Notamacropus eugenii: one gene and its partners. The protein of the gene in region 2 binds, or shares a complex with, the protein of the main gene of each other region. Links are inferred from orthologs where the notes say so. Each region holds a gene or a part of one and is shown on either strand. Other genes may lie near its edges.

Region 1 (8,343 bases), on a different chromosome or scaffold from region 2:
ATTAGGAAAGGCAAGCTGCCCCTGCCATTCATCTTAATGTTGCCACTGGTTCTGGCCAATTCTGAGTACTTATGGGAAGAAGGGAAGGAACCTGGAGCTCTAGCAAACCAAGACAAGAGAACAGCATCCTTAACCTCCTTCTCAAGCTACATTCCTATCTCTACAGCTGAACTTTTCTACAGTGCCTGTCCAGTTCTCTGCTCATTTCTTTTCTTCAGGAAATAATTGGCTTCCAAGCCTTTCTTCCTCCCATAAGATCAAATTTTGCAGAGAGAACAGCTGAGGCTACATTTCTCCAAAGCCTCTAGGCCTGTTTTTTTGTCCTAGTAAAAAGCCATGTTCTCCAGTAAGTATCATTTAGTCTGTGTTTTTTCCTGAGTGTTTTAAAATACATTGGTAGTGGGTGGGGAGGGGGTTAGGAAAACTCCTGCTGCTTAAGAGGCAGAATCAAGATTTGGAAAGGAACAGGCTGGCTGGGCATCACTGGATTCAGGGAGTCTTGGTAAAAGGATACGGCAGTGGTGATCCATTTTCAGCACACACCTGTTAGGAGGAAAAGGATTTTGCATTACCATAGAGCAAAATAATGAGAGGCAACTTGTGCTCAACAAGAGTTGCTGTTTTTAGGGATTATATTAGTTTGCCCCTAACTTGCCTGACTCTAGGCAAAGGGCAAGTACGAAGGCCAAAGAAAAACCAAGGAAATAGGAGAAAAAGCCAACCTGTTACAGATGCTGCAGTGGTGTGTCCGCGCTGGTTTGGGATAAATGCACTTCTTGCAGATAGAAACAGTAGCAAGGTCAGTCTTAGCCTATATCCGAAGAGAATTGGTCATGGTCTCAGAAACATTCTAGTTACTTAAGGGGACCTTTTTTTGAAACCAGTGACAAGGAAGAATTCTTGAAAAGTTCTGCTCCCAAAACTTGTTGCCCCTTTACTAGGATTCTAGGTTCCCTGTCCTATTAGTTTGACCCTGGTGTCCTGCTGTGCCTTCCCTGAGCCCTACCTGGGGTGGGTATCCAGGAGGTGTGGTGATGGCCTGGTAGTAGTGGAAGACGATAAGGATGAGGTTCCAGTGACTGTAGACAAAGTGCCAGCAGATTCGGGGCACTGAGTAAGTATGGAGAATCAGGGGCAAGACACACAGGTAGGCAATAGCAACAATGGAGCTCGTCAGTACAATCACCAGGGCCACAAAGACCTGTCAACAGTAGGAAGTCAACACTCATCTGTGACTGGAGTATGGAAAGATGGCACCCCACAACTAAGGCAGTACAAGAGGAGGAAAACAAATAGAGCCTGGTTTTGTAAAGTATTTTGTGGAGTCTTCAGATCAAGCCACCTATCCCCATCCTTTCACCCAAAAGTCACACATCTCTCATGCTAACCCCAAGCCACATAATCCTGCCAACACTCACCACCCCAAACCAGCGGATCACATTGTCCACAAGCCAATAGACAGGCTCAAAGGCAGAGTCAATGGCAGTGTCACTGCCCCCAAAGGAGTTGTAGAGCAGAGAGCGCAGACAGACTTTTCCATAGCGCCAACGAAGTACAAGGTTCCGAAGTAACGATGGGCATCTGCGTCTGTAGCCCAGGAGGAGAAGCAAACGCAAGCATAGGCGTGCTGGCCCCAGCAGTAAGGACCGGCGGCTTCGCATGGCCTCCTACAGCAAGATAAACAGGCGGTGAACACCTAAACTCCTGCGCCCCACCAGACAAGTGAGTCAAGTAAGGGCTCTCTGAGGTCACACTCAGCCTGCCCCTAATGACTTACTTATTCCAACAACCACAGGATAGAGGTGCTAAGCTTAGATTTGAAGAATCAAACTTAACTAAGTATACAAATACAGGAGCTCACATGTTTAACAAATAGTACTGAAATTGTAAACCTCCCAAATGTGAGGTAAGTAATAAAAGTAGTATTATGCCTGCTTTCCAGTTAAACAGGCTGGAAGGTACAGTAGCATGACCAGAATCACATCTAAGTTAGGATGTGAATCCAGATCTAAATCCAGCAGTTTTTCCATTACACAATGCTTACTCTTAACACAAGAAGTAGACTAACACAAGAAGGATGTAAGTCCCGCCACTAAATGACACCTCTTGCATCAAGAGGGACAAAAGAAATAACTGGCACCAAGCAAAGTCTTCCTCTGGATTTCTCTACAGAATAGGAACCAAGAGGGCAGAGGAAACCTTAAACAGCAAGAACAACAAAACCACTGCAAGGAGAGAATGTGACAAAGCGTGTGGCCTTCTGCAATGGCAGAGCTGTTGAGGAAGCTGCCTGTCACCTAGATCTCCCTCCTGCCCACCTCCCACTCACCTCCCACTTCTAATGCTTTCCACTCTTTAGCTAAAACTAGCCACATCAGTATACGAAAGCATTCTGGAGTGGATCCTGTTCCAAGGTCTTTGATGCCATCTATATCCTTGGAGAGAGCTATCAGTTCTCATCTTCTGGACTGCTCTTACAGGCTCAGAGACCTCAGCCTGGCAGCATAAAATTCCCAAGCTTTGCACCTTCCATTCTCAGTCCCAACTATCACATGATGTTGGGACAACAACTCATGGCACTTTGTGGTTACAAAGCTGTATCTCCTTTGATTCTCCAAAAATCCCGAAGAGATATGGAGAATAAAAATGATTGTCCCCATTTTACAGATGAAGAAAAGGACTCAGAGATAAAAGGACTTCCCCAAGATCACCCAACCAGGAAGTAGCATGGCCTGACTTCAAGTTCAGATCTTAGGATTTCAAGTCCTGTGTTCTTTCTCCTGCCTCTTTTGTGACATAAATCTTGACATCTTTTCTAATCTCCCTATTCAGAGGCTAAGGGAACCACCAAGATATGGGTAGTAGGATATTGTCACTTCCACCCTAGAAGTGACATTTACTGGGGATGTCACATATTTAAAGGTTGCCTGTGTCCCTTTTCTCAGACTCAGATCCTTCTTGAGAACATAATCTGGCCTGTGAAGTTTAGTCTTTTCCTGAATTAGTTAGAAGTCAACCTAATGATCCTCTTAACTGCCCCCCCACCACACACACACACACACACACACACACACACACACACACACACACACTCTCTTTGTTCAAAGCAGAAACGCCTTCTCTACAGTGATTTCCCCTCACAGGCCTGCTTCTTAGCTTATCTCCCCAGCGCTCCAAATTCTTTAATATCTTCAAATATTTTCGTTCTCTCTGGCTGTGGAATAATACAGCAATGGAAGAGGAAAAGACACCTAACCAATATCTTCAGCTACAGACTTCTGTGGATACCTGCACCAATTTTGTGAATGAGTCTATCTCTTATGGAAGAGCAGATTATCGGATTTGTCATGTGGGAGGCAGGAGGGTGCTACTCTGCTCTCAACTCTGTTAACTTAATTATTTAGAATGAAGTCTGAAACCCAGAAGAAACCGGAGGAGGTCTGCATATCTAGGCATGGTTTCAGTTCAGTAACTGGATCAGTGTCCCTTCCTTCCACCCAAGAAAAGCCTTTAAACACAGGTATTCCATCTCCTATTCCTGCACCTGACAGATAACGAAGGAAAGAGAGAAATGGAGAAAGAGGGAGAAGGTGAGGGAGGGGGGAGAGAGAGGGAAAGAGCCAGCAAGTAGTACTGCTCTGGCCAGAACCTTAAAGCAGTCAGAAGTGATGCTGTCCATCAGGATCAGGAAGCTCTCCAACTCCCTGATATCAGGGCAATCAGGAAGAAAATATCGTAGGATAGAAAATGCAGGAACTTTGAAGCTCCCTCAAGACTCAGCTCAAATCCCATCTTCTCTTGGAAACCTTTCCTGGTTCCCCTATTGCGATTACTGCCTTCCCTCTGATTTTTTTCTATCTACTCTGTTTAAATCTTATGGATACCTTGTTGTTTACAGGGATCCTACGTTAGAATGGGAGATCCATGATCCCATGTGCCCAGCACATAATTAAATATTTAAATAAATGTTTAATAAAATAAAAATAAAATAATTAAAAATACTAATTAGCTGACTCTACAGTCATTTGATTTAAAGTAAGGATTTCCAGAACAACCGACAGGCGTATTCAAATGCAAAAACTACAACAAAAATCCTCTGCATTTTGAAACTAAGCAAAAATTTTAAATCCCATTTTGGGTTACATACACTACACCATTTTAATTGGTAGATAATAACAAATAGCTTATACTAAACTAAATAACTAAATAAAATAACTAAAATAACTTTAAAAAAAAACACTAGATGACTTTCCTAAAGGGAATAAATTCAGATTAAACAGCACTATCCTAAAACTCTCCATTCCTCTAACATCAGAGTGACCAGAAGTACTCCTCCACAGACTGTAACCTGAGGAAGTTGTCTCACAATCCTGTCTCAGCCCCTAAACTTGCAGTTCTCCATCTAATCTCCCCCTCTACATTTGCTGGATAGGTTTCCATTTGGGCAAAGGCATGGAGGAGGGAAGCGTTGCCCCGCCATCTGTCCATTCTAGGGTCACCAGCCCAGAGACGAACTTCCCCGTTTGACCTGAAGGCAGGTCCGCGGATAACTGGATAAAGAGCGTTCGGGGATGCAGGGCTCTGCCTCCGAATACGGGGCTCCGCAGAGGTCAGTAACTTTCTAGGGGGCCCGCGGGTGGACAGACAAGGAGGCAGCGACGTGACCCCGTCACCGAGCTCGGTCCGCCCCATCCCAGCCAGCCCCGAGTGCCAGGTAGGGAAGCAGAGCCACCACGGAGGGGGAGGGGCAGTGAGCATAAAGAAGCCCCTCCACCCCCTCCCCAAGGGCTTGGAGGTATCCCGGGAAAGACGAAGCCCCCCTTCCTCGGCCCCCGCCTCAGGAACGGCCCAGGGCGCACGGGCGCAGCCACTGACCCCTCTCACGCCCCGTACTTCCACGCCCCCCGCGGCTGGGGGCCCAAGATCCTGAGGGAAAGGAAAGAGGTGGGAGATAGAACCTTGTGACCCCGGAGGTCGCCTTACCTCCTGTCTGTCGGGCAACGACCCAGTCCAGCCCCGAGGACTTCACGGCTCACAGCAGCCTCGGCCGAAGCCGACCCCGGCCCCAATCAGCCAGAGCCACCATCCCCAGTCCCCACCTGCGGCGGCGCCAGGACCGCTACCACCCCGGCCTCCCCTACGGCGCAAGCGTGGGCAGCCTGGCGGCCCGCCCTCTTTTCTTCCTCCCAAGGTACCCTGGGAGCTGAAGTTCTGGGAGGAGAGGGAAATCTCTGAGGAGGCCCTGGAGAAGCCACGTGGTACGCCAGCCAATTGGCAGTTCTGTTACTCGGGCCCTCAACTTCGTTTCGACCAATGGATTGACGATCGGTCTCTCGCAATGGCTGTTGGGAGATCATGGCTATGGCGCCGCCGATGCGGTACTGCGTCCCAGGTGAGTGAGCCCCGAGGAAGGGTTGCCGGCCCGGCGAGCTGCCGCTGAGGGCCCGGATGGGAGGGATGGACACCACGTTTGTCCTCCGCAGGCGAACGACTGTGTAACTTGGAGGAGGCCAGCCCCGGCAGCGGCACCTACACCCGGCACGGCTATATCTTCTCCTCGCTCTCCGGCTGCCTGGTGAAGACGAGCGACAACGGCGAGGTGAGGCCGGCCTGCGGGGCCTCGCGGGGCGCCGGGGAGCCCCGTAGGCCTTTGCGTCCCCAAAGCCTGGGGTCGGCCGCCGGACGGAGCCAGGGCCTCTAGCCCCACTGAATCCGCCCCGTGGCCCCCTTGACCTGGCACCGAGTAGAGCTCAGGCCCCTGTTCTTCGTCCCCTCTGCAGCTCCCGGTGGTGTCAGTGACCAGAGAGACCGAGTCCCAGCTGCTGCCAGATGTGGGAACGATCGTAACGTGCAAGGTGCGGTAATGCCCACCCGCCTCCGAGCTCCCACATGCCCAGGGCGCCGGGCTTTGCCTCCGTCCGCCGGCTGCAGTAGTGGTCAGGGCTGCTGGTTGTTCCATCGTGTGACCTTTTAGACTGTAAAAACCCCTTTCTACTTTACAGGGAATGTCATTTTCCTACTCGGTGGGTACCCGGTTCTGAATTCTAAAAGCTGGGGGATTTATTCTTTAGGAGAAAAAAACGAAAGCAAAAATCCTCACCGTTCAGAGGTTCTAGCGAACTTCAGATCTCATTAGACATTTTTAAGGAAAGAGACTATGAGTTAATTTTGTGTCACTAAAGTTTCTCCAGGATGAAAGCTAGAGTAATGTTAGTATCTTCATAAATAGCCCCAGCAGAACAGTATGTGTTGTAATGTTGAAAGAGACTGAGGAGCAGTGGTACTAATTCACATTTCTACAGGATGTTCCAAAAGGCTTAGTGCAATTTTAAGCTTTAATAGGTTCCCGTGTCTAAGATTTAATAACTTAAAACTTCACTAAGACTTTTGGAACACCCCATACAACATTTTGCACTTTATAAAACGTTTTCTGTGCATGCTTATTCCCGTCTTCACAAGAACTCATTGAATTCATACAAATGTCCCAGTCTTAATTTTGCAAATGAAAAGACAGCTTACAGAATTTCAGGTTTTTAAGTCTATATTCTTGATTCGTTAAGGTCCTAAAAGACCGATGGCTCAATTGTCCAAGGATTCGAACCTGCTGGAATGCCTTACATTTGTTTACTTCTCAACATGCTTTCATTTTATTTCATGTGATATTCTGAAATAGGGCAAATTTCCCTAAATTATTGAGAAAACTGAAACAGAGATTAAGTGAGTTACCTAGTTAATAGGATAGTTAAGAGTAGAATTTATTTCCCTTAATTACTTATTTAGAAATCTCTGCCATATATCACCAGGATTTCTTTATCTGACAGCTGCTAATATTTTTAATCCATCCATTATCTTCTCTATGGCACAGGTCTCCAGCATTAATTCTCGATTTGCCAAAGTACATATATTGTATGTGGGATCCACACCACTCAAGAACTCCTTTAGAGGCACTATCAGGTGGGAAGCTTTTAAATTTATTTATTTTGCTTCAAAACAGTCTGGGATTTTAAACAAAATATTACAGATCTACATCCATCATGTTTCTTTAATATCTCTGCCTTCCTTTCTCTGTGATCTCTCTTGTGTTTCACAGAGAAAGTTTGGACTAGGGTAGTAAATTTGACTGAAGTATGTGCTTAGCAGGCATCAGGGTGATATGTGTTCATCCAGAGTTGATTGTAAGTTTGTTAGGCCCTATTTCTCCTAAAGATTACATGTAATTGCAGTTGTATAGGCCAACCCTGGTGATTATTAGAAATGGAGGAAATTACTGGGTAGGGTTCTTTTTCCCGAGTTTTCCCTTGAAAAGGGGACAGAAATCATTTTTCATGGATGTAAGATCATTTATTCTTCAATCTCTGAAAGTCTCTTCCATCCTAGGATTCTGAATAGCTGTGCAGTCATTTTCTGCCACTTCTTTCCAGGAGGGGCTAATAAGTTTTCTTATACCTTCGCATGTCTTAGCTATCCTGAAACTTCCTTCTCTCCAGACCCATCCCTAGGAACAATTGCTGGCTATTCTATGTGGGCCTCTTGTGACAGGATAGAGGTCTTAGCCCAAGATGTAATCTTGGGATGTGTTTCCATCTTGTGCCTCTGGATGGCAGCTAATTAACAAATATGATTCGTCCCAATTCCAGCAGCTACTCTGGCCTTGGTCCTAGAAAGCAAGTCGTTGTTTCTCTTGAAGAATCTTTTTTTTTTTTTAATTTCCTTACAGGAAGGAAGATGTTCGAGCTACTGAAAAAGACAAGGTAATGATTTTTTAAAAAAAACTTAATAACTATGGAATCTCAAAGTTCCTGTTATTGTAATTAATTTCAAAGACCATATTTGAGGACAAATATATCAGAGAAAGAGTCCCCGGTGATACTAAAGTTGTCATTTTTCTACTACTACAATGATTTCCCCTCTTGCCACACTGCCCCCCAAGTCCTTTTCTCCCTGTGGATTTTTTGTTTATTGACCAGAGAGGAACAATTTGCTCTGTCTTCTAATTTGGTACATTTTTCTAGAATACTTAGTAACATTTCTTCAAATTTAAGTATGGGTTCTCACTCTAAGCCAGATATGGGAGCTTTTAGCTAGGTCAAAATCCTAGGTCCTGGCACTGTAGATTTCTAAATAGATACTTTGTTCCTTAAAGAGTAAAATGGATTAAGATGAACAGGTGTGATTTCTACCCGCTGGGAGAAAATGAGCTGAATTCAAATGAAATGGTTAATTCCAAAGCAAATAGATCCACTTCCTAGCTCCATATGGTCACTTGGAACTAGAAAAATCTGTAGAAAGATGGGATTCATTCATTTTAGTGAATTGAACATGGTTGATCTGTGCTGTTAGAAC
Region 2 (7,636 bases):
ATCATGGATCCACTGAAGTGAATCCAACAAATTGTTGTACAATATCAACATCTGAGATCATTGGATGCAGCTGCCCAGCAAGCACTATATCACATTCTTTTGGCGGACTATATATTTTAAAGGTATAAACATAACATTCTAAAAGGTTTTCTCTAAATCAGTGATGTCAAACAAACAGAAATAGGAGCCACTAAAAACTATACATAAGGACCTCTCTGGGCAACATGTTTTTTATTCTAAGTTATCGTGTTTAATATTTCCCAATTACATTTTAATTTGGTTCAGGCTACGCTTGGGAAGTGTTGTAGGCTGCATTGAGGCTACATTTTTGACACCTCTGCTCTAAAACAGCAGTTCTTCTCCTCTTTTTTGGGTCTTGGATCCTCATTCTGTCAGTTTGATGAAGTGTACGGCCCTTTAGAACATTTTTAAAAACACACACAAAAATATATAGCTTTATAAAGGAAACCAATTATGCTATAATGCAGTTATCAAAATATATTGAGTCCAGGTTAAGAATGCATCTGTCTAAAGACATGCATTCCTCTCTCCCTATGCAGCAGTTCTGGAGTCAGCCTTTTCTTCCCACCTCCAATCCAGTAGACATCCCGGCTAGGAAAATCTTACTTTGAGACATCTCTACTTTCTCTATACCAAATATCCATCTTCTGTTCCTAAAATCCAGTCTCATATCACTCTAACCACACAAGTTTTCTTTAGTCTTTCAATGCAACACACCTCTGCAAAAAACATACCCCTACACGTCTGCAGCATGGGGACCCTTGGAGGTGACCTTCCCTTTGCTGACTTGACCTTGTCTGTATGTTGTCATCTGCATGTTGTCTCCCCCATCAGACTTTGACATCCTTGTGCCATTCTTTGTACCCCCATTTCTTAGTACAGTGCCTGGTACATAGCAGACACCTAATAAATGCTTATCGACTGACTAGCTGATGTATTCCCACTCACTCATTTTACAGATGAGGAAACTAAAACACAGTGAAGTTAAGTTACTTACAGCAAAGGTCACATCATTCGAAGTTGTGCTGCCTGAATTGACTACAATCAGGTCATTTGACTACAAAATCAATACTCCTGCATGGCCACTTTGTATGGGAGGAGTAGGGAGAATGATACCATCTGTCTCCTCTTCCAGTAGCACAAAGTCTTAGATAGTAAAGAACCATGTGCTTTTTACCTCAGTTCAGTGAGATGGAGCCTTGTGGATACTCAAATATTAACCAATAAAAAATTCTACTGAGAGCTGAGGCAAGGGGGAGGGTGGGAGGGTTCTTAGCAGGGTGCATTAAAGTGCTTTCAAAGGTGATTAAAAATGGCCAGATGGGAGTACATAGGCACCAGATATTTTACTGGAGAACATTCCATACTGACAAAGTTTGGAGGAAAGAGTCGTTTTACTTTGGAGAAAAAAGAGGATTCAGTGAGAGTATGAGTTATTAAAACTCAACTTTTTCCATAATAGCTCTTTAAAATCCACTTTTTTCCTTTGACAAATATCGTTTGAAATTTCTTCTGCCCAGTCTTGATTACTAAGAAAAATGGATTCCCAGGGTGATCTTAGCCTTACCTTGCAGGTATTATGCATTTAAAAGACAATGCCCACCTCAACCACCACAGCAAAGCCAGGGCTTACGTTTCCTTGGAGCACTGCCTAAAACTCACCACCTACCCAGAAAAATGCTGGAACTAAGAGGCCTGGCTTGTTGGCTAGTGGAGATGGCTACAGCTGGGCCTCCTCAGCCTCTCCTTGCCCGGGCGCTAGGTCCTCAGAAGCTCCTTTCTCAACATTCATTCTGCAGCCCTCCCTCGAAGACAGGCAAGCACCAGGTTTTCAAGAAATGCTGCTAGTGCCTGCCATGGGTCACACGATATGGCCAGATTCTATTTGCCACCCCCTCCCCCCCAACCTTCCCCAGTCTCCAAGCAGACCATGGGCAGCAGCCTCCTACTGGGCACCATGTCCATCATGAAGTGCTCTTCCACTCACAGCTGTCCCCTCCCACTATCAGTCAACTCACAAAAAGACCAGGAAGTGAGCTGCAAGGAAGTATTCCTCAGTTCCTTCCACAAACTACTCTCCCCTTAAAATCTCAGAAATCGAGAAAAGAACACCCCCACCCATCTTATCAGATTTAGGTGGTGAGAAGTAAAAAGGGAAGAGTCAAAGCATGGGAGGAGGGGAGGAAAGCCTGGGCAGAAGAGCTTCAGATGGAGGGGGGTATTCATCACTCAATCCCAGACGCACAGAGCTGGAAGGGACTTCAGAGGCCCTATCATTCTAATAATTAAATAGTAATTGCTTCTCTTTTACCCAGGAAACCTGAGGGTCTTCCTCTCCCAGTTCAATTTTTTTTTAAAGGGGTAACTATTTAATTGAATGGGTGTATCTCACTCAAAGTGAGAACATGATAAGACCTTAACCTGAAAGGGCCAGGGTCTCACATTGCACTTATCAGGCCACTGGATGCTGATGGCTCAGGAGAAGAAAGCGAGGCCAGTGACCTTGCACAGCCCTCCCTCACTCAGATCAAAGTCAACTGCAAGTCATGTCATCGTCTTGATGTCACGGTCCTCTTCGAGAACAAAGGACAAACACAGCAACAATCATTCTACCAGTAAAGAAGAATCCTCTCTATAGCACATGGGTCATGCAGTATTGGCTTTGAGACGTTCAGAGATTGAATTGTTGGGGTGTTTTTCCTCACTCCAACCCCATCCCCCCACACAAGAGCCCTTCAGTTGAAGATGGCCATCCATGTTGCACAGTCCCTTCTTTCCCCCTCACTCCTGCATCTTTTACCTGCCTTTTACCACCCTAATCCCTCCATTCTTTCTGGAGAGTATCTTGTCAAAGTCCTTCCTAAAAGGAAGGGACCCTAAACAGAACATAAGATCCAGATGTGATCTGGTGAGAGAAGAAAACTGTGGGTTGAGTACCTCCTTAGTTCTGGGCACTGTCTCCCTAAAGTGGACCAGTATGGCATCAGCTACTGTGGTCAATGTATATGACACCATTAACTCATGCTGAGCTTTGTCGATGTAATTAGCTATATATGTCATTTACAAACTTGATAAGTTTTTAATATGTCTTTATCCAATTCACTGACTAGAAAAGTTCAAATAGCACAGGACCAAGGAGGCAGTGTGGCACAGTGCAAAGAGGGCTGCATTTGAAGTGAAAAGGCCTGGGTTCAGCTCCATCTGTGCAACCCTAAACAAGCCCCTTATCCTCTCTGGGCACCGGTTTCCTCCTCTATAAAGTGAGGGGGCTGATTAAATGACTCTGAGGTTGAACTAGTACTAAATCTACTCTACTATCTACCCAACAAACTTTTATTCATCAGCATTTACAACATGCAGAGCATTCTGTTAGGCAATGAAAAAAAATCACCTACATAAAGGTTTAGAAAGGCTTTCAGCTCAATCTTGGGAGATAGATCTGTATTAGTCTTCCCACTTTATAGATGAGGGAGCCGATTTTGAGGAAGGTTAAGTGATTTGCTCATGGTCACACTGCCAAAAGTCAGACTGGTTCAGAGATTTGAATCTTCTCAAAATCCAGGACCTTTTCGCCTTCGAGCGGAGGTGAAGAAAGGAAAGAGGGGAGGCAAGGGCAGGGGCACAAGGCTGTGGGGGTAAGGGGAGGCAGGAAGAGGGGCAGGGAAAAGAGGAGCGAGGGGAGAGACAGAAGGTGATAGGGGATGCGGAAGAGGCAAGTTGAAAAAGGGAGCAAAGGATAGGGCAGGGGAGAGACAGAGATCGAGGGAAGGGCAAGGGGAACAGGGACCAAAGAGTAATGCGGGGACGGGGTGAAAAGTGGAGGCGGCAAGGGGGGAAGGGCAAAGGGAGGGGCGAGGGATGATAGTGGAGCGGGGGAAGGGAAATGGGGAACAAAGGGAGGGGCAGGAGAGTAATAGGGGAGCAAGGGAGGGGCAGGAGGTAATAGAGAGGGAGGAGGGAAAGGGAAGCAAAGGGAGGAGCAAAGAGTAATAGGGGAACAAGGGGAGGGGCAGGAGGTAATAGAGAGGGAGGAGGGAAAGGTGAGCAAAGGGAGGGGCAGAAGAATAATAGGGGAACAAGGGGAGGGGCAGGAGGTAATAGAGAGGGAGGAGGGAAAGGGGAGCAAAGGGAGGGGCAGGAGTAACAGAGGAGCAGAAGGGGGGGTGATAAAGGAGAGGGGGAGGGGCAGCAGGTGGCACGCGAGCAGGGGGAAAGGGCAGCTGAAGAGGAGTGCCGGACGGAAAGGCAGCAAGTGTGGGACCCGGGAAAGTGGAAAGGGGTGAGTGGTGGGGCAAGGGGAGCACGCAGCCCCGGGGCAGCGGCTCGCTCCGGCAGACTTCGCTAAACTCCGGCGCCCAGGAAGAGACTCCCGGCCGGCCGGCAGGTGCCCCGGCCGCCCTCTGGCCCTCGGTCCGTCCCCAGCTGCCCCCCGGCGCCGCCGCCCCCTCGCCCTCCCGCCCTCGCTCTGGGGGCCGCTGCCGCTCCGGGGCTCGGGGGCCGCGGCTCCCGGGACTCACCCAGACTTCGGGGCGGGGCGCAGGAGCAGCCCATCGGGCTCTCAGGCGGGAGGCAGCAGCGGCGGCAGGAGCGGCCGCCGCTCGCTGATGACGCGGCGGGAGCGGCCCCAGGGGCCCTGGCGCGGGCGGATGACGCCACAGTCGTGCGGGGAGCGCGACGTCCGGAGCGGCGCCGAGGCGGAGGGCTCTGAGGCGGCGGCGACGGCGGCCGAAGCGTGGCCGGACGGGGCCTCATGGCGTCCGTGGCGCTGAGCGAGGCGGAAAAGGTGTACATCGTGCACGGTGTGCAGGTAACGAGCGAGGAGGCGAGGCGAGGCCCGGACCCCTCCTGCCTCGGCCCCGGCGCGCTCCCCCTCAGCCTTCCCAGACGCCCCCTACGCGCGTGCGCCCTGCCCTCCCTTGGTCGTTCGGAGGCTCTGCGCGCGCACGTGGGGGCCGGTGTTTGGGGAAAAGGCTTAGAGATGGTCTACTGTAGAGCTGGAGTAAGGGATCTCAGACTACCCTTTCTTACAGATGGGGAAACTGAGGCCCCAGGAGGAGAGTAAGTGCCTGGCCCCAAGCCCCGTAGAGTTAATTAAGCTCGGAGGACTGTGGTGAGCCTCCAGTGAGATGTTTGTCAAGCTCATTGTAAACGTCTGGACGTGTTAGTGTTCCCCAGAGTCGGTCAGGCAGCAGAGAACTGGAACCCAGACCGTCCACCTCTGGGTCAGATAAGCTGCTTTTGTCTGTTAAGCGCTTCTTCTGGCCCTGGCCTCCCCTTCCGAGGTGGCCTCGGCGCTTGGCGGCATCCTGATGTTACATTGTAGCTGCTCAGGCATCCTCCTGTTACATTGTAGCTGGGCTCGAAGTCGGGGTCCGGAGGCTGGCACTTTCTCTGACTCCCCGGAACTGTGGTTTTTATCCCAGACGAAGAGACCTACAGAGCACCTTTCTTTAGCTCCAAACGTTGCCCGGGTTAGCTTCTCCCATCAGTACCATAAATTTCCCAGATCCAGCTCGGGTTGAAGGAAACTCAGAAGTTCCTGTTAGAAATAGGGTAGGAATGTTGGACCCAGAAAGGGAAAGTATTCCTGCCTACCTGAGTATTACCTCCCCGAATAGCAGATGATGTACTCTTTGTCAGAGTTCTTTGAAAAATAACAATTTTATAGGTGGGTGAGGTGATGTTGTGAAAAAGATTTCACAGTTGGCACAATTGCATTGGAAGCTAAGACAGAGCTGTCAGTTACCCCTAGGATTTGGCAATTTACGTACCAGAAGGTGTTGGGATGGTTTATTTGGCTTGAAAGTTGGCAATCAACCTCTGAAAGCGACATCCCTTCCCCCACCCCCCCCAAAAACCAGAAAACCACAACAAAATGTCAGCCTTTCTCTGCTGTCATCCTTACTGTCCCAAGCCACTGCTACATTCTATTGCCTCCTTTCCTCTCTATTGCCCTTCTCCTCCCCTCCATATAATCACACTTAAAGCTAGATGCCTGCCCAACTCATTATGTTTTATTGGCTAGGATCATTAGTCCTCTCTGTTGTAGATTAATGCAGATTTGTTTTTCAATTGTTCCTCTCTGCCTTCTCCATTATCTCTGTTTTATAGCTGAGGAAACTGAAGTACACAGTAGCAATTTACCCTGGTTGAATTTTCAGCCTTAAGAGAAATAGAGAGAGCTCGATTCCATCTTTTTAATCTCCAGTTTATCCAACTGGACCATATGCATTCTCCCTGGGAAGCTGGGGAAGTGGAAAGGAGAGCTATTAATGAAGCTTCACTAAACAAATCACCTGGGTCTTCCATGGCAGTTCTTTGCATGTGCCACATTTAGTCACTTGACTTCCTCCACAAAAGGATGCTTTTTCACTATACCAGGTTTGGTTGGATGTGTCTGAAATTATATCTATTTATTTTGCCTCTTATTTTCTTTTTTTCACACCTTGCTCATCCCCTCTCACTGGGAGTTTAGTCACCTTGGGTCAGATGTCCATTCTGCATTTCGGTATTTTGTCTCTAGTAGTGTCAACAAGGCATAGGGTGTTTTTTTTAAAAACAAACCCAACAGTTTGTTAATCCCCCATGGTTTATCCTTTGCCCAATCTGTCTAGTCTTGACAAGAACATGTCCCCTAATTCTGTGGTGGCTATTTTTAATGACCTTGGCTGTACAACAACATTTCCACAAACTATTGCATGGAATCCTACTGTTCTATGTGATAGGGACAGAAGTTCCATGAGAGTTATAATTATACTTTTCTAAAACATTAAATATGAAATTATGTCTTTACAAAAAATTAAATACAGCATCTTTCAGTATGAAAATAGGGTTAATTTTCTCTCCTGCTCCATAATTTCATAATTTCCCACTCTATTTAAAAGTTTAAAAATTTCTTCTTAAGGGAAGTTTATTTTGAGGTTTGTTGGTGGGGGAGGCAGGGAGGCAAATGGAGCTACACAGCTAGTGTCTGAGGCTGAATTTGAACCCAGGTCCTTCCGACTCCAGGGCTCGTCCTCTATCCACTGCTCCACCTAGCTGCTCTTGGAAAATGTTCTTTAAAGTTTTATTAATACTTTTACTGTCACTTTGTTATATAACATTGCCTCATCCCTCTCTTGTAACTACCCCTCCCCCAAATAATCCACTTATACAAAATCAAACAATACAGCATTTGTATCTGATGATGTAGGCAACATATGCTCCGCTACTCCATTGTCTCTTCCTAATGGGCAGAGAAGTGGGTTCCAATGTCTGTCTTCTGGTCACAGCATTTACTCTTACCTTTGTTTTTGTGTCAGAGTGGTCATTGTGTACATGTTAGAATCACAGAATTTGGAAAGAACCTCAGTGGCCGTCCAGGCCAACTGAAATCTGATCAGTTATTCTTCTGCTTTTGCTTCGTTCAACCCTCCTCAGGTCACTTTGGCAAACCTTTGTTAAGTGCCTACTGTGTGCTAAGTGCTGGGGATGCCAAGACAAAAACAAAACAGTTCCTGACACCAAGTAGCTTAAATTCTGCTAGGGGGAAACAACATGGACATGGATAAGTAAAGAAAAAGTAATGTTTTTGGTGAGGGAGGAGCAGAGAGCACCAAAAAATAGGGAAGGTTCC
Region 3 (7,876 bases), about 270 Mb from region 2:
GAGGCCTTTGGTGGGACTATTCAGGGTGACTGAATCTGTATGAAGACCCACACCTCTTGATGATTGCAAAGGATGCACTGGATCAGGAGATATATTGGAAAAGCGTATATATACACATACACACATATGTATATACTCTGAGGTGAGGTTCTACTTTGGGGCTTAGTTTTTGGAAGAAGGTTCTTGTGCCCCCCACTTTGAAAACCCGGATGTCTGTGCTTCTCTCTCTCTCTCTGGTAACATGTACGTATTGCCTACGGTCAGTTAGAAGCTCTGTCTGTTGGTATATGTAATTAAAGATTGTTTACTCCTTCTTCAAGTTGCTTTCCTTTTAGAAAAGCAGATCTAAGACCTCCTGGGTGCCAAAATGCTTGCTGTTACAGCCTGGAGTCAGGAAGTTCAAATATGACTTCAGACAATTACTAGCTGTATGATCCTGGGTCAGTCACTGTCTGCCTTCATTTCTTCCTCTGTAAAATGAGCTGGAGAAAGAAATGGTAAACCACCCCAGTTATCTTTGTCAAGAAAATCCTAAATAAGGTCACTGAAAAAAATAACCCAACAACATCATGTTCTACTTGCCATTTTAACTTCTTAATCTAGGACTAGGTTTACTGTCCTGGACTTGGCATGGGAATTCTGACAACTGGTAAAGGGAAATGCCCACGAGGAAATACCCTCTTACCGATGCAAACTGCCACTTGATTTGCTATTTTTGATCTTAAAACCTTATCTGGGGGCACTTCCCCAAGGTCTCAGGATCAGGCTCGAGCCTAAGCCTTCCTGCCCCCTTACTCAGCTCTCTGCTCCCTACACCAGACTGCCTCTCCATAACTATGCACAATAAAAGGTGGTCTGGAGTTAAGCAGGGACACGAGTTCCAAGGTGACCTCAGACACTTAACTGTGTAACCTTAGGCAGGTCATTTCACCATCTGTGGAAGTAGCTGCTGCTACATTGTTACAGAGTGGCTGTAACAGAACGAGCTCAAAAGGCTGCGGTGACAATCCGATGAGATATTTACAAAGCTCCCGGAGCAAAGCTGGCGCAACAAGACCGCTTAAGCCCCGCCCCCTGTAAACAAACAAACAATTTAACTGAATTGTAACCTTTACCATCTGTGGGCAGACATTTCTCTGAGACCCAGCTTCCTCTAAAATTTGATCCCTCACATTTGTAACGGCGTTAAGACTCGGGACACCACCCTGAAAAAGCAAGGGGGCGATCACCGGCTCCTCCCACCAGCGACCTGAGACCCTGGGGGGTCACCTCCAGCCTCGTCCATACCACAGATAAACTGAGTCCGAGGAAGGGAAGGCGGGCCGGCCACACGGCCACGAGGCCGCCGCCGCCCGAGGGCCGGAGACCCCTAGAACTACCGTGAGCGCCCTGAAGGGGAGACTGTAGCCAGGGACGCGCATGTGAGCGCCCGCGTGTGTGCCGCGTGTGCGTGTGTGATGGGCGCGGAAGGCACCAGCACCACCCAGGCTCCCGGGGCGGGGGCCGGGGCCATGGCCGTGACCGAGGCACGCGCGGCCGGGTCGGAGGGCGCCCCCCCACCCCGCGAGGCGCAGCGTCCGGCCTCCCGCGGCCCCGGGCCCCGCAACTCACCGACGCCAGCCCCGGGCGCAGAAGGCGGAGGAGGAGGCCCATGGCGCAGCGCCCCGGCTCGGCTCCGCTCCCGCCGCCGGACCCTCGCCTCCCGAGCCTACGTCCGGGCGCGGGGAGAGGACGAGTGAGGCTGCGCCCGCGGGACTCGCCCCTTCGGCCCCTCTCTGCCCTCCCCGGGAAGGGTCTGCCCACGGAGGGAGGGGCGGCGCAATTCCGCCCACGTCTCGCCCGCCCCTTCCTCTCTCCTCCCCTCCTATTTCTTCTCTTACTTTCTCTCCCCCTCCCTTCCAGCCTTTTTCTACCCGCGTCTCTCTTCCCTTTTTCTCCCTGGCACGCTTCCACTTTCCCTGCTCTCTCTGTCTCTGTCTTTGTCTCTCCCTGTCTCTCTCTGTCTCTCTGTCTCTCTCTTTCTCTCTCTCTCTCTGTCTCTGTCTCTCTCTGTCTCTCTGTCTCTGTCTCTCTGTCTCTGTCTCTCTCTGTCTCTGTCTCTCTCTGTCTCTGTCTCTCTCTGTCTCTCTCTCTCTCTCTCTCCTTCCATCTGTGTTCCTTTCCCAACCTGGAGCCCTAGGAATTCCAAACCCAGGCTGAGGGAAAGGAAGGGATCTGACCCTGACCCCAACCGTGACCGTGCAGCCGCTAGGACCCATCAGTGCCATGGGTGATACAGAGATGAGCAGCCTGCTTCTAGGAAGCGACTGCATTTTGTATTCTCTTTAGGAAATGCCCCATCCACCCTCATCTGTCATCACCCGATGGGGATGCAGAAGTAGCCTAAGAGGATTCCTGAAAACTCTTCCTTTCCTTTAGCTACAGATCTTTTTCAGGAGTGAATTCTCTGGGAATTTTGGAAGTCCAGCTCAGAGATGTTTCAGGCAGGAGAAGCATCGGAAAGCTGGCCTTAGAGCCAGAAATGGTTAAGTACTAGGATGCACATAGTGCTTTAAGGTTGGCAAAACACTTCCCCATTTACAAAGAGGAATTTTGAGAAAGATTGCCCATGGGCACACAGCTAGGGAGGGTCTGAGGCACAATTTAAATTCAGGATTTTGCTGATTCTGAGTCTACCCCTCTATCCCTTGGGCTACCTAGCTGAAAAATACAAAAGGTTAATTAGTTATGAGCCAGCCTGTGTGATCATGGACAAGTCACTTACTCTCACTACTCCAAGCAGCTCTAAAAACATGTTACAGATGATTGATAGAGCAAGGGAAATTGATTTTAAAAAACTATATAAAATTTCCCCCAATCCATCTTTTCTCCTAATTTTAGCCATTTTTTATTTTGTTTGTGCTTTTTAATTTTATTAAATTTGAATAATTTGTGTCTATAAATGAAATATGTGGGGGTTTTTTTAGGCCGGAATGTGAGTTCAAATGTGGCCTTACACACTTGCTAGCTTTGCTTAAGGGTATGAATAATTAAAAAAAATTAAACTTTCTCACTTTCTGATGCCTTGTTTTGCTGTATCGTCTGTGAAGTGTGTATGTGTGTGTGTGTGGTTGTATGTCTCAAAAGGTGGGACTTTTTCAAAAGGTCTAGGATTCTGGGTTTCTGAGAATACAGTACTATTACTGTATAATCCTTGACTAAAAAACTAGCAATTTATAGATAAATTATTTCATAGTCCAATCTAATGAGTTTTCCTTTCAGGAGACAGCTTTTTGCTGATGAGACACAGTAGTAGAGAGGCAAGAACCTAGGATTTGGAATTAGAAACTCGGGGTGTGCATCATAACTGAGCTATTTATTATTGGAGTGCCATTGAGGCAAATCACTTTCCCTTTCTGGGCCTCAGTCCCTTCTGTAAAATACTAAAATGTTTTAGTTGGAAAGATGGGAAACTGTAGGAATGAACTGTTGCATGGGACTTTTTTCCCCTTTGTGGATAGGAAGTCTCACTTGGAAAGAAGCAAAGGTAGAGAAAGAGAAGAATTATATTCAGAATTGACCTTGATGTAAAACAAAATGAAACAAAATGAGATAAAATGAGAGTTGGAGTAGACATATAATCTAGTCATTAGATGATCTCAGAAGGCCCATTTAAGATAAGTCCTATGACCCCATAAAAAAACCCTTGAGAACTCTGAGAAAAGTCCTACTTAGAGAGGAGGGACGTGGGGTACCGGGGTAATCGGGGTAAAAGCTCGGGATCCAGCACTGAGAGGATGACAATCTGGTCTTGGACTTGGGTAGGCGGGAGCTGCCCAGGGAGGCGGGGCCAGGGAGAAAGGGGGCGGGGTCTAGGAGCAGTCCGGTGTACAGTTGAGAGGGGCGGGGCCAGAATGGAACCACAGGGGAAGAGGCGGGTCTGGAGTGGGTGGGGCTAGGACTGGGCGTGGAGGTTCGGTGCTCCGCCCCCTCCACTGTCCGGAGTAGAGAAGGGCTTCTGGGGGAAAGTCCCGGACTGCTCCTTAGTTCATGCAGGACAGTGCCACCACGAAGGCGGAAGGTTGCTCCTCCTCTTCTGTCCCGAGGGTGGGAGGAGCTAAGTCGGAGTGGAAGGGTGGGCCATGGCGGGGGGGGGGGGGGGGGGGGCAGCAGTTCTTTATCACGTGGAATGGACACAGCAGAAAGAGGTGGGGCCTTAGGGGCGGGTGCCTTCACTCACGTGGGCTGGAACTACTGTGCAAGGGGCGGGGTCTGGGAGGGCTCCAGGGTCCAGGTAAGGTAGGGGCGGAGCCCTGGCGCATGGGCCTTGTGGGAAGGAACAGTTCTCTAGTCACGTGGAATGGAACCACAGTGGGGGGGCGGGGCCGGAGCCGTTCCTCCTTCCCGCGGGGTGTGGCGCCTCGGCGTAAAGGCGGGGCGGTGAAGAGCTGTGCCAGGCCGCTCCTCCTCACGTGACGTGTACCCTGAGCGGAAGGGGCGGGGCCACCTGTGGCGGATGTGGGGTTGCTCTGCTCCGGGGCTAGAGACGTCGGGTCCTGCAGGGGTCGCTGTGGAAGGCCCCGCAGCGGCAGCGGCTGCTCGATGGCCGCCCCGCCGATCCCCGGCTCGGGGCCGCGGGTGGCGCGGACCGTGCTGGGGCAGGTGGTCCTGCCCGGGGAGGAGCTGCTGCTGCCCGAGTCGGCGGGGCCGGGCACGGAGGGCTCCGTGGAGCAGACGCTGCGCTTGGGGTCGGTCGTGCGGGCCCGCGCCCGCGTGGTGTGCGGCCCGGGCCTGCGGCGCTGCGGAGACCGCCTGCTGGTCACCAAGTGCGGGCGGCTCCGCCACAGGGAGCCCGGCGGAGGCGGCGGAGGGGGCGGCGGCGTGTACTGGGTGGACTCCCAGCAGAAACGGGTAAGTGGAGGAGGCCCGGCCCGGCCCCGGCCTCGAACACGCGGAGACGGCCCCAAGCGGGATCCCGGCCTCCTGGCCGGTACATGGGAGAGGCGAACTCGCTCCTCCCCGGAGGGCTCCCCTAGCACAAGCAGAGCCCGGCTTTAATCTTGGGGCTCGGCCTCAGCCTCCCCATTTCCCTTGGCCGGCGCCCCTGCTCTTAGACGTCTTCCCCTTGCTCTGCTCTCCGGGCTCCGGCTGCGCTTCCCCTTCCCTGGCACGTGCCTCCGCACCAGCCAGGGGTGAACGCTGCCCTCCCGAAGGCCTCTCTGCCAGTCACTGCCCCGAGCCTGGCTGGGGCGTACTGGAAGGGGCAAATGTGCATGTCTAGTCCTGTGACTTCTCCACCTAAAACCTTAGCGTCTGTGGATTACTGAGTAAAATTCAGATTTCCTAGGCCAGCAGTTAAGAGTCGTTCTAAAGTTTGATGCCGCCCTGCTGTTCAGGTAATAATTGCTCACACACATTCTCTTGAGGGCCCTTCCAGTCCGTATTGTGCCATTAGACTCAGGCCCCGGAGGAGAGAGTGAGGCTGGTGACTTGGCACATTCCTCCCTCGCCTACATCCAATTCACGAACAAGCCATGGCACCATCTTCCTGACGTCATTCATAGTCCTCTTCCAGAACAACCTCCGAGTAGTCTGAGCAGCCCTGCTGGGCACCCAACTGGCCAGTTCCATTTGGGTGGTGCAGCTCCTCCATGCACATGGGGTGTCACATCCTTACCTGCAGATGCTCTGCCCCAAAGAATGTAAATTTTGATGACAAACCTAGCAAGATACCTTGGGGTTTACTGGCTGGATTCCTTTCTGAAAGACCATGATTGACCAACAATAGGGTCCGTCCCAAGCCCCACTTAGTGGTCATCTTTTTGACCTGGGTGGCCCAGAGTCAACATAAATTGTAATTGTTTCTGTTTGGGCCAGAAACTCTGAGGGTGTTTCCCTCCCAGATTGGGTTTTGTTTTTTTTAATTAGGAGAAAGGGGCCATTTTTTACCTGGCCTTAATCACTGGTTGGGGGCATTGTCTCAGTCAAACTGAGACCTACTAAAGACCTTAGCTTAAAAAGGCCAAGGTATCCCTCTGCATCCAGGGCCACCTCCAGTCTTCCTCATCTATATCCTGGTGAAGCTGGTGACTTCGCTCAGCCCTCCCTCACTTAAAGCCAGTTCACTTGCAAGTCACGGCATCACCTTGCTGATGTCCAAAAGAGAGGATAAACGACAACCACATGTTCTCCACTGTCCCTCCTTTGTCAGGGCCTGAAATGTGACCTTTACCCATCACCTCCCCCACCCCTGAAAGTTGGGTTTACTGCTACTTCCTGCATACAGTCTTTCTTAATCTATTATATGTTCCTTGAAGTCAGGGGTTATTTAATTTTTGTCTCAGTATCTCGTGCCCAGCACAGTGTATGTCACAAATACTTACTAAGGGATTTTCTGCAGCACCTCCATCACCCAATTGTTAATTGTCTCCTCTCTCCATGAGGTAGCATTTTGCTTATAACTTAAACAAATACAATTCACTTCAAGTATTTAAATGCTTACTATATACAAGCCATTATGGTAGGTTCAAAAAATAAAGAGATAAAAGCCACAAAATTCTTGTGCTCACTGTGGGAAAGGACAAATAATGTGTTCATAGATGAAGCATAGTAATAGATTCCAATAAGATTATGGAATGATGGCTGTAAAGGAGAGACAGAGGTAAACATTTGAGAAGGAGGAGAATATTCAGAATGGATTGCTGATGGGGGACACAAGAAGCAAGATGACCTGTTAGGGGTTTACAGTAGTCAAGGAGAGAGGTGCCATGAGTGATACTCTTCTAGGGTAAACTCCATGAGGACAGAGATGGGTTTTATCTGTCCTTTGTATCTCTCTCAGTGCCTACGTGGTAGGTCAGTGTTTGGTGAATTGCACTTGGTAAGTGCTTACTATGCACTGTGTGGAGTGGAATGGTATATGGACAGTGTTAGCCAAGTAGCCCAAATTTCTACTCTGAAAATATTTTTCTAAAATGCCAGAAAAATAAACATAACTGGATATTTATATGGAGAAATGTATAACTCAGTGGATAAATGTTATCTGGATAAAATTAATGGATAAATAGCTCAATTTGAGATAGTTTGAAGCTAAACTTAATTACTGAGAAGAAATTTATCACTGGGATTATCTTATTTTGATTTGTACCTTTTCTGTATATTTGGAATTTATAATTCAGCAAATAGTCGTTTGTTTACTGTGTGCAAGGCACTGGACTGAGTGCTGAGTGATCTCATTGGTACAGACGTTCTCTCTGAAGACAGCACCCTGTCCCTGCCCGTCTGTTCTGTGCAGTTGTTGTCCATGACTTGTCTCCTAAGTTTGCCTGTATATCCAAAGGTCAAAAACCTCTACAAAACAGTGTCTGCCCTCAAACAGGTTATATTTTTCAGCATATGATATACATACATACATATATATATATATATATATATATATATATATATATATATATATATATATATATATATATATATATTTAGATTTTTCCTTTCAAAGAGGTCTCATTTAGGGATGTGGCCTGTACTTGAGCATTGCCTATATTTAGATTAACATATTTATAAATATTGATACTTGAATGTTAAAATATTATACAGCCTTTTAAAAGCAGAAATGTAAAAGTCTGTTGGCAGGGTTTGCTGGTGAAATGTCTTTTTCAATTTTCAGAAGTCTGTATGCTTGTGCTTTTGTGACTTTTCTCTTGCAGTATGTCCCGGTTAAAGGAGACCATGTGATAGGCATTGTGACTGCTAAATCTGGTGACTTGTTCAAGGTTGATGTTGGAGGAAGTGAACCAGCTTCTCTGTCTTATTTGGCATTCGAAGGAGCAACCAAAAGAAACAGACCAAACGTACAGGTAACACTGAGTCTGTTATTTTTATGTTAAGTGAAGTCATA
Region 4 (7,765 bases), on a different chromosome or scaffold from region 2:
TGTAAGCTCCTTGAAATCAGGGATGGTTTTATTTTTATCTTCATTTCCTAGGCCCTGGTACTGTACCTAGCACATAATTTCTTAATAAATGCTTCCCTTCCACCCTCCCCACCTTCCACTCCCTTCCCAAATTGGCTCCTTTCTGTCTACTCCATCTGCATTTAGAAATCCTGTCTATTGTTCCAGGCTCAGTTCAAGTGTTACTTCTTCCAGGAAGTCTTTCTTGATCCCCTTCTCATCTTGGCCAAGTTGGGAGTGCCACCATCTGAGATCCCGAAGCACACTTTCAACACTCACAACCCTAGTCACACCCCATCTCATACTATGGTTATTTGTGAGAATAATGCTTCCACATTCCATCTAGGAAGCCCCACCACAGCAAGAGTGATGTCTCCTCTTTTGATGCTGTATCTACTCCTGAGAAGAGTATCTGGGCTCAGTGAGGGTGTGCAGACTACAGTGGAGCCACTGGAGGATGAGAGGCAGATCTATACTCTGGTATCCTCTCCAGTAGCCAGAGCTTCTTGGCAGTAGAGGATAAAGAGCCCATTGAGTTTCATGGGACAAGGACCATGTCTAGCAAGGGTTAGGAGACCAGGGGTCAAGTCTAGCTTTACTACTAAATTGACTATTGGGCAAGGCGCTGCCATCTCTGGATCCCCTTTCCTTTTCTGTCCCATGTCCTGGTTCTGATACTTTTACTTTGTATCACCCTCACAGGAGCCCTGTGAAGGAGATGGGAGGGCATTATCACCCCTGTCTGACAGATAAGATAGATAAGTAAACTAAGTGGTACTAGAAACCACGTCTTCTGACTCAGGGTTTTCTCAAGGAGACAGACCTTCCTAAATACCTACCCCATTTTATACCATCCTGACCTTCACTTATCTAAGCCAAAAGTCTACTACTTCTAACCTTTTCCTCCAATACAAATTTTCATCTTTACCTGGACATAGATGTCAATCTGGGAGCGAGGGTATAGTTGGGTCAGGATGGCAGCCTCAAAGGTCTGCCTCAGCTGGAGGCCCATTTCACAGGCCTTGCGGTCCCCATGTGGCCGTCGCTTCCGTTCCCCAGTGCTGAAAGTGGCCATGCTATACTGGCAGTTCACCAGTGCTCGGTCTGGCAGTGCTCTTGACCGAGAGCCCCGCATCTAGGAAAATTAGGGAGGGGAGACATAGGAATTTATTAAGTAGGAGCTGTGGGAGTCACCCCCGCTCCCCCAACCCTCCCTTTTATCAAGCCCTGGAGAGTAGCTTCCTAGTCAAATAAGTGACAAAGCCAGCATATTACTCCCAAGGAGTAAGGAGACCCAGGTTTTAACAGAAACCCTACTAACTTATGTGCCTTTCAGCAAATTCCTTAAGCTCTCTGGGAAGGACTTCTCATTTTTTTAAGTGAGGAGGGCAGGGTAGATAACCTCTAAGGTCTCTTCTAGGTCTAACCTTCAGTATTCTTATAATACTCTATCTCCTGACACACTGGGATCATCCTAGAGTGTTTATTTCAATATTCAAGACTCCTCTACCCCACCAATGATCTTTTCCTTTCATTAATACCCATATTCACTTCAATACATAATGACCTGTCACCTCATAGATCTTGGGCTTATCAACATCCAGGGAATTCTCCTTGATTAACCTTACCCCTGCCCTTCATGGAATTAATTCCACCATCCTCATCCTATTTTCCCAAGGGAATCAGGAAGTGCCCAGGATTCTTCCTTATACCCTTCTACAATGGACTATTCCAAGGAAGGGCCTAGTAGGCTCTCTATCTCCTTTTCCTATGGGCCTTCAGCTTCTGTTTAAATAAAGGGTCCAGAATGGGCTAAATGATTTCCTTCAGGGAAAGTCTCAGCATATGTAGCACAGCTTGTCTTCCGGAGTCAGAAGGGTTTGACTTTGTCTGGCAGTGGGAGATAATTATTGCATCTACTATCATACATTATCCCCCACCCCTACGGTATACGAGTGAACTTGAATGGCACACACACACACACCCGGAACAAAAGATAATCTCTGGACCAGATTGCTCTCAGGTATTCATAAAAGCTCAGTTTTCTTGAGGATGGAACTTCTGCCTAAGTTCTGGGGGTCCAGACTGGGGAGGCCAATATGTGAGCAGATGAGCATGTTGACTTGTGAGTTACAAGAGGCAGATACATGGCAGATGTAGACACATGTTGTAGCTCACATGACTGAACGACAACAATAAATAGTGCCTATATGTGCCAGTAGTAGTATTATCCCCAATTTACAGCTAAGGAAACTAAGGGTAACTTTCCCAGGGTCACACAGCTAGTGTCAGGTGTTCCCAAGCCCAGGCCCAGAACTCTGTCCACTGTTACTTAGTAGCCTGAAACTTACAGAGTAGTCAGATTTGCCTTTGGCAACATGTACTACTATAAGGGGCAAAGCAGGCTTAGGTCCGTATTGACATGAGTTTCCTTGCTGGGAGTCCCATATATCAAAAAAATCACAGGTTCAGCCCGATCCAACATAAAATAATCATATACCTCTCCTTTCTATTGTGTTTGTCCTCGTGGCTTCCAAGGGAAGTGTGAGGACTGTTAGAAAAACTTTATTTCCCAAAAAGGGAGACTTTCCAAAACATAGGTTTGACCACGTTAACTCCCTGCTCAAAGTGCTTCAGTGGCCCTCCAGGATCAGCCACTGGACAAGCATTAATTATCTATTTACTTCCTGCCACCCACTTTGCTTACACCTCGCGGTCTCCGAGCCAGTTAGGGGAGCAGCGAGATGACTAATGCGGTGATAACCAGAGGAGACCGTAGCAGCGACTCTCGGCACCACCGGGGGGGTGGGGGTGGGGTGGGGGTGGGGGGGGGGGTGGGCGGTGGAGAGCAGATTCAGAAATGACGTCATACCAAAATCCCGCAGCCTCAGTTCTCAGTTTTCTCCCCTAAAGAACCGCACCTCCCCCCCATCCCCATCTCAACCTCCAGGCTTTCTCAAGGAAGCTCGCGATTGGTCCGGGACCCTGTGAGGTCACGCCCCCTTCCCAATGCAGAGGGAGCTCTTTTTTTCAAGAAAGGCCGCGATTGGTCCGAGACCTTGTGAGATCACTGCCCTCTTCTCCCTCCCGATAAGCATCCTGAGGTCGCCTCGCACCTCGTGGGGTCCATAGACCACGGCCAGCGCCTTAGTGTTGCCTTGTTCGATGTAGGCCGAACCATCTGCCTGCGCGAAGACGCCCATCCGTGCCTGGATCTTGCGCAGCTCTCCAGCCCGCCGCCCGTCCACGCGATAACCCTGATCCGACAGCAGCTCCAATCCCGCCATGCTTGTTGTAGCCCCTTCTAGCCTATCCTGACTACACCTCCCGGCGGCCCCTACTACTTCCTGCTTCTATCCCCGCTTTCCGGCGGCCTCGCGCTTCCGGTTTTCTGCTCTTTCTGACACCGACGGGGTCATGGGGTCTAAACCAAGGAAGGACATCAGAAGACGTCTAGTCCAACTTACAAAGGAGAAGACTGAAGCCCAGAGAGGCAAAAAGACTTAGTGGAGGCCACCCACCTAAGAGACAAAGCTGGGATTGCAAACAGCGCCCCCCTCCCGCTCAGACTACATTTCCTAGCGGCCCCTGCGCCGCTGCAGTTTCTAGCTTCCGGTCCTTGGCGCTCAGCCCTTAGGCGGTCCCCCGCCGGCGCGGACTTCGAGCGCAGATTCCTAGCCGAGGATTAAAGACGCTGCTGGCCCAAGGGTCGGAGGATCCGTTTTGGTTTCCAGTACCGCCTCTTGACTCTTGTTAGCTAGGGGACTTCGGACAAGCCGCTTCGTCTCTCCAATCCTCAGTTTCCTCATCTGTAAAATGAGACAGCTGAACTGGCTGCCCTCCAAGGTCCCTGAAGACTCTCAATACAGTGTAATACGGTAATTGATCATCTGAAGAATGAGAGGCAGTGTTGACAGCGCCTGCTCCCCACCCCCAATATCGTAGGGAAGCCATTGAGTCAGCTCTGAAGGACCATCTATGGAAGTTGATCTTATGTGATATCCAGTTCAATCGGACAGCCTTTCTTAAGAACCTGCTCTGTCCCTCAGTCCGTCTACAAACTGTAATTAAGTACTTTACCATGTGTTCAGACACCGTGCTGAGCGCTTGAGATACAGAGAAAAGCGATGATACTCCCCCCCCCCCCCTTTAAGAAGTTGACTTTCTGATGGGGACGCGTCATGCCAAAAATCATCTGTTACAAGATACATGCTGTGTAAATTAATGGTAATCCCAGGAAAGGCACTAGAAGTAGACAGGACTCCGAACGGCCTCCCGCAGAAGGTGAGATCTGAGCTGAGTCTTGAAGGATAGGAAAGCCACGAGTAGAGGGAGCCAAGCGTGCCAGGTATGGGGAAGAGCCATTGCAAAGGTACAGAATCAGGAGATGATTTTCAGTCAGGGGATAGAACGTCCCTGAAGGAAGGAGCAGTGAGAAGGCCAATATGCTTCTGGATTATGGAAGGGAATGTCAGGCCCTGGGGGGACAAATACAGTGGACATTGTGCAGGCATAAATTACATGTATGCATGTTTAAGTAAGCACAAGATGATTTGGGGGGGCACACCAGTAAATGGGGTAACGGACCCTAGATGCTGGTACCTATTGGACATGAGTGATAGCTAAGGTGTTAAAAAAAATGACAGGATCCAAAAAGATGTTTCAAATTTGGGATGATTGACTAAATCTAACACTAAGAAATTAATATGAAATGATGGAAGTCCTAAATTTGGGTTCCAAAAATTATTTTAACAAGTCCAGGAATTTGGGGATAGGCAGGGGCAGGGTCAGAGACTACGTCAGAGCACTTAAGGGAAGGGAAGAGGCACGTGTATTGTGCCTATTATGGGCCAGGGCTGTGCTAGGAACTTTTAAAAAATATATATTATCTCATTTGATCTTCAGAATAACCCTGGGAAGTAGGTGCTATTATTATACTCATTTTATAGTTGTTATTGTGTTTGTCCTTTGTTCTTGAAGAGGACCATGACATCAAGATGATGACATGACTTGCGGTTGACCTTGATTTGAGTGAGGAAGGTCTGTGCAAGGTCACCAGCCTCACTTTCTTCTCCCGAGCCATCTGGGTACAGTGGCCTGATATTCATCAGGATAGCTGGAGATGACCCATAGTTGAGAGAACAGAGACAAATAGAGGTTAAGTGAATTGCCCAGGGTCACACAGAAAGTTTCTGGAACTCAGACCTCAGCTCCATCTAGCTGCTTCTAGTTAATGTGAAAAGTGAAAAGTATGGGGGAGGGGGAAGGAGGGAGGTGTTTTTCTAGATTATAAACTGTATGCACCAAAATGTGAAATTGCAACCCAAAATGCTAGGGGAAGAGTGCCCCTTGAATGCCTAGTCCAGTTCCAGGGGCACCTAGTTGGAGGAAGAGGAACCTAGGCCAACCCAAAAGGTCCAGTAATACTCCCCCGCTGCTCCCCCGTACCCTCATAAATCCTCTTGTGTCTCTGAATGAGGGCTGGGACCAGATCATTGGAGACAAAGGTGTAGTAGAGTAAAATCCTAAATCCAAATGGTATAACTTTGTTGAAGATTGCATGCTAGACCTCAAAGATTATCTAGTCTAACTTCTTGTGTTATGGAAGAGCTAACAGAGGCCCAGATAAAGTGAATGCCTTGCATCTGGCTACTAAGTGAAAGAGGTAGGAGAATGAAAAGAACATTCAGTCATTGACTATTTTGTACAAAGCAGTGGGCTAGGGCAGATAGAGTTTAGACAAGAGACAGTCCCGTCTTTATGGAGAGAGTTTCTACTCTGAACAGTCAGTCAGCAAAGATTTACTCTGGCTTCTATGTGCTAAGTGTTGGGGACACAAAAGTAAACCAACTGTTCCTGACCTCAAAGAGCTGCCATCTCAATGGGTAAGACAACATGTAAATAGATAGGAGATACATACGGATTAAATGAAGGTGGCCTCAGAGGGAAGGCACTAGATGGGGAGAAATGGTAGAGGGGGACATGAGGAAAGGCCTTTTGCCAAAGGTAGAATTTGAATTAAGTCTTGAAGGAAAGCCAGGAGATGGAGGTGAAAAATGAGAACATTCTTTACAAGGGAGATAACCAGTGAAAAGGTATGGAGTTGTGACATATAAAAAGTTCAAGGGACATAGTTTCTGAGTAGTTAAGCATTTTATTAATCATGCTGCCCTATAATTAATAAAAGGGATCAGTGACACTCTCAAATGCCAGAGACCCTTCATGGAACCCACCCAATGCTTATATGCCCTTGAAAGAGTGGCTGTTCCTGAGGATGGCGATCTACCTTTATTGCTGGGGGTCTGTGACTTTGGTCTTGTCATTTATTTCCAAATCACCCAGAGCCTTTGGCAGTTTAGACAAAGGCTGTATCCCTTTGCCCAGATCTGCCTGAATGGAATGAATTGGGCCCTGAATTCACCTTAGATTAAATTCTTTGTAAGGTTTTCTAGTTGGGTGAGGCAACAAGTCTAGGTAAGGTAAATTTTTGAAAAAGATCAGGGATCTCTGCAGTAATCAAGAGATAATGTCCAATGAGGGAGAGCAAGGAGGCTAGTGTGGCTAGATTAGAGCATCTGTAGAAGGGAGGAAAGGATAAGAAGATGGAAGGGACCTGGTTCTAAAGGGCTTGAAAAGCCAGACAGGATCTAATCCTACAGCTAAAAGGGAGCCATTGGAATTTATTTGAAGTTGGTATTGAGGAGGATGGTGATGACATGGTTGGATCCATAGTTCAGGAAAATCACTTTGGTGGCTGAATGGAGGATGGATTGGAGTATGGAAAGATTTGATGCAGGCAGACCCACCACAGCTTATTGCACTGGTCCTGGGATGAGTTAGTGAGGGTGTGCACCAGAGTGGAGACTATGTCAGGAGGGAGGAGACATAGGAGAAATGTTGTGAAGGTAGGAATGTCCAGATAACACTTTGGATATGTGGGGTGAGGAAATGAGGATAACACTAAGGTTGCATGCCTAGATGACCAGGACAATGGTTCTGTCCTTGACAGTAATAGGGAAATTTGGAAGAAGGAGGGTTTTAGAGCAAATATTTTGGACACAGGTGTCTAAGGGACATCCAATAGATTTCCAGTTGTTGTTCATCTTTTGTTTTCAAAGACCAATGATATCATGAGGTGATGTCTTGAGTTGTGCATGAATTGGATTTAGGTGAGGCCATCAGCTTACTCTCTCTTCCACAGTCATCAAAGTCCAATAGTAGGACAAAAGTCAGGATGACTGACAATTGCCTGGGATGCAGTGGATGACCTTGGAATCTTCAGTGTCTGATTGAGCTCTAAGAGCTTCACAATACTTCCTCCATAGCACTTAGAACAAATTGTTTTCATCCACCCATTCTGCCAGGGGAAGTCTTCATATGCTTGAGATAGATATGCTCTAATTCACTGATGAGTTTGAGGCCTGTCAGCCACCCTCAACCTGGTTTAGGCCATCTGCCAAGAGAGTTTTACTGGGGTGTGGTTGCCGTGCTTGTTACAGCTTCTTGGAGCCACAGGTGAGAGGTGAACTTAGAGTTGGTGAATCCAGGACAGAGCTCAGGGCTGGACAGATCTGAAAGTCATTTGCATAGAGATGATAATTGAACCCTTGGGAACTGATGAAACTGAGAAAGTATACAGTGAGCTTGACCAGGAAAATCTTACAAAGGAGACCTCAAAGTAGCTATACTAAGAGGAGAAGCAGAACGAAACAGTGTCATGAAAGCTAGAGGGAGTATCTAGGAGGAG

The links.
Region 1: EXOSC7 (region 2) and EXOSC1 share a complex: the UniProt entries of both Homo sapiens proteins name them as parts of the RNA exosome core complex. The link is inferred for Notamacropus eugenii from reciprocal best matches to the Homo sapiens genes EXOSC7 and EXOSC1.
Region 3: EXOSC7 (region 2) and EXOSC3 share a complex: the UniProt entries of both Homo sapiens proteins name them as parts of the RNA exosome core complex. The link is inferred for Notamacropus eugenii from reciprocal best matches to the Homo sapiens genes EXOSC7 and EXOSC3.
Region 4: EXOSC7 (region 2) and EXOSC4 share a complex: the UniProt entries of both Homo sapiens proteins name them as parts of the RNA exosome core complex. The link is inferred for Notamacropus eugenii from reciprocal best matches to the Homo sapiens genes EXOSC7 and EXOSC4.

What each region holds. Positions count from the first base shown.
Region 1 is NC_092872.1:214,259,615-214,267,957, reverse strand, and holds the start of EXOSC1 (exosome complex component CSL4), read left to right. Parts: upstream 1-5,249; 5' UTR 5,250-5,355; coding exon 5,356-5,392; intron 5,393-5,483; coding exon 5,484-5,599; intron 5,600-5,780; coding exon 5,781-5,855; intron 5,856-6,865; coding exon 6,866-6,954; intron 6,955-7,717; coding exon 7,718-7,751; intron 7,752-8,343. Other genes in the region: palmitoyltransferase ZDHHC16, read right to left, coding at 515-543, 723-811, 1,007-1,201, 1,419-1,661. UniProt on the Homo sapiens protein: Non-catalytic component of the RNA exosome complex which has 3'->5' exoribonuclease activity and participates in a multitude of cellular RNA processing and degradation events.
Region 2 is NC_092874.1:43,356,063-43,363,698, reverse strand, and holds the start of EXOSC7 (exosome complex component RRP42), read left to right. Parts: upstream 1-4,632; 5' UTR 4,633-4,771; coding exon 4,772-4,828; intron 4,829-7,636. UniProt on the Homo sapiens protein: Non-catalytic component of the RNA exosome complex which has 3'->5' exoribonuclease activity and participates in a multitude of cellular RNA processing and degradation events.
Region 3 is NC_092874.1:316,499,617-316,507,492, forward strand, and holds the start of EXOSC3 (exosome complex component RRP40), read left to right. Parts: upstream 1-4,513; 5' UTR 4,514-4,581; coding exon 4,582-4,890; intron 4,891-7,685; coding exon 7,686-7,835; intron 7,836-7,876. Other genes in the region: uncharacterized protein, read right to left, coding at 1,612-1,653. UniProt on the Homo sapiens protein: Non-catalytic component of the RNA exosome complex which has 3'->5' exoribonuclease activity and participates in a multitude of cellular RNA processing and degradation events.
Region 4 is NC_092875.1:85,960,100-85,967,864, reverse strand, and holds the start of EXOSC4 (exosome complex component RRP41), read right to left. Parts: upstream 3,306-7,765; coding exon 3,135-3,305; intron 1,154-3,134; coding exon 947-1,153; intron 1-946. UniProt on the Homo sapiens protein: Non-catalytic component of the RNA exosome complex which has 3'->5' exoribonuclease activity and participates in a multitude of cellular RNA processing and degradation events.